Linked DNA regions of Caenorhabditis elegans. The protein of the gene in region 2 interacts with the protein of the main gene of each other region in a pairwise test. Each region holds a gene or a part of one and is shown on either strand. Other genes may lie near its edges. The genes, in order: bra-2 and arrd-24.

Region 1 (3,486 bases), on a different chromosome or scaffold from region 2:
TATTGACTTCCAAAAAGATTTCTTGGCAAAACACCAAAAATTTAAATTTTCAAATGGTTCTGTGAAGGAAATATGAAATAATTTGTTTTTCAGTGATTTTTCCCGAGAAAATTGAACATTTTTCGAAATTTGTCCGCATATTTAGGGTTTTTTCTCATTGAACATTTGTCATTTTTGGTTGTTTTTTCGACAATAAATCAAGAACTGTTTGATTTTCTCTGAAAAAAAAAGAGATTTACCAAGTCCGTTGCTCCGGCGACTGTAAAAAGCACGAAAGCAGGAGTAAAATTGTGTTGAACAACAAGATATCCGATGAGTGGAGTCGCCGCGATTCGTGCTGTACAAATTGCATTAGGGATAGTCGCCACTTTGTATTTGCCGCGTTCTTCCGGTGGTAGTGACTCTATTTTTGGACTTTGCTTCTGCTCCAAACTTGAAAAGTTTCGTAGCATTCGACGAGGAGTTAGCAGTAGTTGAAGCTCGCAGCGGCAAGCAATACCACGAAACATCGATGTTACTATCATTTCAACACTTCCGCAGTAACATTAGCGATTCAAATCTGAATTTCAATTCAGATCTCATATGTAAATCAAGCTTTCGCAAGTACAAAAATTCGATAAAACAGTTAGACAATCGACGGAAGTGACAACAGTCAAAAATTGTTCATTTGCCACATAAGGCGAAACCACAGAAAGTTGTCACGACATATTCGGCTAAACTAAAAATTGGTGAATACAATAAAGAAATAAATCGATCATCGAGGCAAATGAGCATTTATTTGCGATTGCGATAGCTCTGTGGTGGTCTGATGGCTTCTTCGAAGGCGAAGAGGTTAGTGTAGATGGCGGTGGCGAACTGTAAAATGTTGAATTATTGAAAAAAAAAACCCCGCGACCTAGTAAATTTTTGTTTGTTTATGGAAATCCATCCTGAATCTCACTAGCAATCGTTAATGTTAATAAAAAAATATAGTAAAATACCAACCGACGAAGCGAAGAAAACCGCTGACACTGCAAGATAGGTGTTGAACTTTCCCTGGAGCTCGCCGTAGACCTTCTTGTAAGATTGGAATGGCACTGGCATCAAGTCGAAGGTGCATGGTGGTCCCGGGTTGGCGACCTGAATAAATACGCTGCTACATTGAACCGAACAATAAACAATACGTGATGTCCGTGCCCGTGACGCTTTTGTGCAAAACGACTAAGAGCCAAGAAGCGGTTGAAAGCGGTACGGTTCATCCTGAAAACAATAATTTATTTTCGAAAGTACCAAAAATTATTGTAGATGGAAAGTTGATTAAGAAAAAAGTCTGCAAACCTCAATTTATGCTAGAAAGCAGTATATTTCGAAAACCTATGTTAATGGGGTTATTCAAGTAGTGTCGGAAAATTAAAAAGTGTAGAAAAATTACGTCACAACTGTATTCAAGTATATAAAAACATGTATTTAAATACATTTGTGACGTCACAAATGTATTTAAATACATTTTGCTACATTACTTGAATAATGATTCTATGCGCAAAAATGCCGAAATGTCTATTTTAATATATTACGAGTAATTATTTTACTTAAACCACCACGGAAAAATAAGAATAATCGATAAAATAACTTTTAAAATAGGAGAGAAAACGAGCGGGCGGCCTTGAATCGATTACGCTAAACAACATGCGCACCGTTATAACGGAGTGTCGTTGACAAATATTTGTTTCTTTCTCTGTTGCGCGTACGGTAGCTCTTTGTTATTCGTTTTTCTTGCTGTGATTCAGATTTTTAAAGTGTTTTTTTGATAAAAATAATTTCAACAGTCAATTCATGTTCTTTTATACGTATTAACTGATTTATATTCTTGATAACGCCTTGAAAACTACTCTGAATACTGTAGAACGTTCTATCGATTTTTCACAACAATTTTTTCAGTTAAACCCGTGCAAAAGATGGCCGATGGGCAAGTGCATGATGAATTGATGATGGATCAGCAACAACAGCAAGGAGTGGTTCCTCAACAAGGTGATATTCACCTATCGCCGATCGACAAGGATCTCGGAGATGCGGCGTTAGAAAATAATGTGCGGCAGGTCAGTTTTCAATGAAATTCCTGTCGAAAAATCGATTATTTTCAGTATCATCTCGATGGAGTGGTCGTCAGTGAAGGGATGAAACGAATGATAATCGACCTGCAACGTCATTGGCTCAGTGAGTATCACGCGTCACGTGAGAAGTGTCTTGTAGAGCTTACCGAGAAGTTGCATCAAGAATTCATGATGGATCAACAGAAAATTCGATCGGAACTCTTACAACAGTTCAAAGACGAGTTGGAACAGACAAGAGCCGATCTAGAAAACAAACACAGAGAGAACTTGAAGATGGAAAGTGCAAAGTTGAATGAAAAGCATAAAAGAGAGTTGGTTGCATCAAGAAAGAAACAATGGTGCTGGTCGTGTGATAATGAGGTGAGTATATTTGATTCCATCTATGAAAGCAATGATATTATCCAAATCTCAGGCTATATACCATTGCTGCTGGAATACCGCATATTGCAGTGTTGAATGCCAACAGGGACATTGGCAGACTCATCGAAAGTTTTGCCGCAGAAAGAAAGGAAACAATGCTCCTGGAGCACCAAGTGTACCAGCTCCTCAACAAGTCGGAGCACCAATGCCGCCACAACAACAATAATTTTCTTTCGTTTTAACTCTCTAATCATCATTATCATCAATCTCACGTCAGAACACGAAACTGAATAAATTTCAACCACCCACCACCGCACAAATGCGACGCTGATCTCACCCACCACGTCTATTTATATTCCAAATCCTAATGAGTTTCTGTTATTCTTCATCTTTATCAATTTGTCGAACTTTCTATGTTTTCCTTGTTCAATAAAAAATTTAATTAAATTGATTTATGGATATCGTGTTAACAGATATCGAGTTAACACACGCGTCTTCATCTGCGGAAAACTTCTTTTCTAGGCCTATTAGGAAAAATGTGTGCCAAAAGTCAGAAGAAAAGTTTAGAAATGTGGAAATTCTAAAAAAAATTTTTTTCAGTATGGGTATTAGCCCAAACAATGCAAATTTTCTAAAAACACTTGTAACTTGAATAATATTGCAGTTGGAGGTACATACTTGAATAACCCCATTAAAAATAAACTTAAGCATCAAAAATTTTTGGTTTTTTTGGTTTTTCGAAAAATTCAATTTTTTGTTTTTTTGGTTTTTCAAAAAAATCAATTTTTTGTTTTTTGTTTTTTGGTCTAAAATTTTTTTGGTCCCAGCCCTGCACAGTACCACTACAGTATCCCAACAGTATCCCCCACTAACTACAACTACGTCCGTAGCAAAAGAGTAAAAAGTAGTAAAAGATCTGTGTAGGCAACTCGTAGTAAAAGAGATCACGTAGTAAAAGAGCCAACTGTAGTAAAAGATCTGAATGCGGAATTCGTAGTAAAAGAGATTCTGTAGTAAAAGAGATTACATAGTAAAA
Region 2 (3,859 bases):
GAAACCCCTCTTGCCAAGGGAATCGCTATTCGTCAATAAGGGGGGAAGGTGTTACGTGTTCGCACTACTTCGCGATAACAACTCGACAATAAGAAGCACATGAACTCTCGAACTCTCTTATTATTATTTCACGTATTATCCACATGTACATTCCTTGATCGAATCTATCATATTCGATCATTCCTCACTATTCTATCATACTGCACTCTTCTGCTTTCTAATAAAGCTCTTCTATTATTATTACAAAATATATAACATTTACTCTCTGGCTTCACCGTATTTTTTACTCTCGGGCTTCACCGTATATTTTACTCTCTGGCTTCACCGTATATTTCCCGAACTTTACCAATAATCTTAGAAAAAAATTGTCTATTCAGGGCCATATCAAGTCTCCCAAAATTCCAAAATTTTTTTTTTGTAATTTCGTCAAGGTATATGCCTGTAAAAAATAATTCGGATACAGAAACCCCTCTAGCGTGGCTTAAATTTAATTTCCAGGTCCCGAACTTTACCAATAATCTTAGAAAAAAATTTTCTATTCAGGGCCATATCAAGTCTCCCAAAATTCCAAAAATTTTTTTTTGTAATTTCGTCAAGGTATATGCCTGTAAAAAATAATTCGGATACAGAAATTCCTCTAGCGGAGTTCAAGCAGAAAAAGTGGATTTTCAGTCATACCTTTTAGTGCACAGTTTGAGAATGACTAAAAACGACCATGCAAAATTAGTAGATTTTCCAATTTTCAAAAATTAGAATCTGGCGTCAAACTAACTTTTTCAAAAATCCTGTAGCCATTTTGTTGCAAATTTTGTGTTCTTTCAGAATTTCGAAACCAAATTCAAAAAAGTGTGAAGCCAGGGAGTAAAATATTCTGTAAAGCCAGAGAGTAAAATATTCTGTGAAGCCAGAGAGTAAAATATACGGTGAAGCCAGAGAGTAAAATATTCTGCGAAGCCAGAGAGTAAAATATTCTGTGAAGCCAGAGAGTAAAATATACGGTGAAGCCAGAGAGTAAAATATACGGTGAAGCCAGAGAGTAAAATATTCTGCGAAGCCAGAGAGTAAAATATTCTGTGAAGCCAGAGAGTAAAATATACGGTGAAGCCAGAGATTAAAATATTCTGTGAAGCCAGAGAGTAAAATATTCTGTGAAGTTAAAGGCATGAAACTAAATACTCAAGATCGTCTTTTGTACATTACACTTCCAATTTAAGACTTACAGTTCCATTTCTTGCACTCCATGCAATCGTTTCTCCAGAGACGTAGTCAACTTCTGCAGAGTAGTGCACAATTTCAGTATAACTTTCCTCTTTTCCTTCACAATTACTAAACTCTTGTATGTCATTAGGTCTAGATGTCTTGGAGCTTACGTTCTGTATCGTCGTTCCCCTTCACTCCACTTCGTATGCGCAGCACCGTGAAAACAGATTTTCAAGAATCGGGCAGTGATTGGCTCGTTGGATCTCAAAACAACCTGCCCAGTAACAGTTTGACCTGGTGCATAACCTCTCGGGCTATCGAACACAATTCCAAAGTGATCCATATGTTCCATATCTAAACTAAAAAGATACAAGGAAATTTAGAATTTTAATTAAGGAAAATGTTGTATGATTATAAAATGAATGAAAACTGATAAAATGAAGTGGTTATCAAATAAATTGCCGTTTTATAATATAAATATGATTTCACAAAAATCAAATAACGCACGGTATAAGACTGATGACGACATTTTACCTCCTGATTACGCGTTTTGAGTCACAATATATTATAAAACGGCAATTTATTTGATAACCACTTCATTTTATCAGTTTTCATTCATTTTATAATCATACAACATTTTCCTTAATTAAAATTCTAAATTTCCTTGTATCTTTTTAGTTTAGATATGGAACATATGGATCACTTTGGAATTGTGTTCGATAGCCCGAGAGGTTATGCACCAGGTCAAACTGTTACTGGGCAGGTTGTTTTGAGATCCAACGAGCCAATCACTGCCCGATTCTTGAAAATCTGTATTCACGGTGCTGCGCATACGAAGTGGAGTGAAGGGGAACGACGATACAGAACGTAAGCTCCAAGACATCTAGACCTAATGACATACAAGAGTTTAGTAATTGTGAAGGAAAAGAGGAAAGTTATACTGAAATTGTGCACTACTCTGCAGAAGTTGACTACGTCTCTGGAGAAACGATTGCATGGAGTGCAAGAAATGGAACTGTAAGTCTTAAATTGGAAGTGTAATGTACAAAAGACGATCTTGAGTATTTAGTTTCATGCATTTAACTGATAACAAACTACAATATTGTTACAGGAAAAACTTCCATCTGGCCACCATGTCTTCCCGTTTGCATTTCCACTCCCGATAGAATGTCCACCTAGTTTTGAAGGTTTCCACGGCCACGTTCGTTATTCCGTGCGAGTTGAGCTTGACAGACCATGGAAGTTCAACAAAAACGAAAGGGAAGACTTCAAAGGTATTTCGAAAATTGTTAATGTGCGCAAAAAGTTATTTTTCAGTTATTCCCAACTTTGACTTGAATCATCTTCCGTTGGGAAATGTTCCTAGAATGATGAAGGATGTGAAGGACATTGGGCAAATATTTAAAAAAGGAATAGTAACAATAACTGTGAGTACAACGCTGCTACATTGATAGGTTATTTAATGCTTTCAGGTAACTATCCCCAAAGCAGGATATGCTCCTGGAGAATACCTGCCAATCACAATCGACATTGACAATGCTTCCAAACGTGCAGCAACGTTTGTGCGAGCTGAACTTCATCAGCACTCGCATTACAATGCTAGCAAAAACCATGGCCTCTTATGCACTCATTCGTCTTACCACGAACATCACAAGGATGAAAGCAAACGTATTGCAGAAGCTCGAAAAAGCATAAAAATTGCTCCAAAAACCGCTGGCCGTGAAATGCTGCGGATGAAAATCCCAAAGTCGCCACCAACATTTACAAGTCCCATTATCAGCATTGAGTATTGTCTTTCTGTGAGGTTGGACACTTTAACAACCCTTAATAATACATTGCACTGCGAGTTTGATATCATCATCGGCACAGTGCCAATAACTGAATCGATCGTGGAGCCAACGGTAACTACCTTTCCGTCTGATCCACCTGTCCTTGAGCGGCTGGATTCCTAACCTCCAGCCTATTCAACTGTGGTTCCAAGTGCTCCGACCGATGATACAGCGGGAACATCCGCTCTACCGCCGTCTTATGAGGAATCAATGTGTGTAACTAAAATTTAATTGGGTATTTTATTTTATTTTTTCTTGTATAATTGTGAATTAATAAAATTCTGGCCATTTACATTAGTCAATCAATTTTCTTTCTCTATTGCTAAACATTGAGTTTCAAAAATATTCATTTGGCAAAAAATAAGGTAGGGTAGATTCAAAAAACTATAAGGATGAATTGTAAATTACAAGTTTATTACAATCAACAGATAAGTTTAAAAAAAAACATTTCAGAAAATAATATGAGGAGTAGTGATATTCGAGATTGACGGTGAATTTTTATAGACAATTTTACAGGATTTTTTTGTGAGCCACTTTTTGTGCAGTAGTGAAACAAGATAACAGTGCAACGACGACAGCAACTTATTCTAAAAGATAGGAAATGTGAGTGGTTGTCCGGCCATAGACATTTGGACAATCTGCTTTAACAAAGACAGTACGTTGAGCAAGGCAGAAACGCTCAATAATTTCCGATTTCTTGGCCACAAGTTTGGCGGCAAGTCTTTGGCGAACACCTTTATTGTCTTCCTCTGCGTGTTTGTATTCAGATCTTTGCATTCGACGAGCTTTACGTCCTTGCTTTGCCAGAATGTGCTCAACCTCCTCTTCTG

The links.
Region 1: the proteins of arrd-24 (region 2) and bra-2 interact in a two-hybrid assay, tested with the Caenorhabditis elegans proteins (one large-scale study listed by BioGRID).

Annotation. Positions count from the first base shown.
Region 1 is NC_003281.10:909,344-912,829, forward strand, and holds bra-2 (MYND-type domain-containing protein), read left to right. Parts: upstream 1-1,917; 5' UTR 1,918-1,934; coding exon 1,935-2,075; intron 2,076-2,120; coding exon 2,121-2,450; intron 2,451-2,502; coding exon 2,503-2,676; 3' UTR 2,677-2,900; downstream 2,901-3,486. Other genes in the region: crls-1 (Cardiolipin synthase (CMP-forming)), read right to left, coding at 240-524; F23H11.5 (Deltamethrin resistance protein prag01 domain-containing protein), read right to left, coding at 775-855, 985-1,119, 1,164-1,238.
Region 2 is NC_003284.9:13,978,533-13,982,391, reverse strand, and holds arrd-24 (Arrestin C-terminal-like domain-containing protein), read left to right. Parts: upstream 1-1,874; 5' UTR 1,875-1,885; coding exon 1,886-2,067; intron 2,068-2,111; coding exon 2,112-2,217; intron 2,218-2,311; coding exon 2,312-2,474; intron 2,475-2,517; coding exon 2,518-2,627; intron 2,628-2,672; coding exon 2,673-3,152; 3' UTR 3,153-3,323; downstream 3,324-3,859. Other genes in the region: F48F7.6 (Zf-C4pol domain-containing protein), read right to left, coding at 3,612-3,859.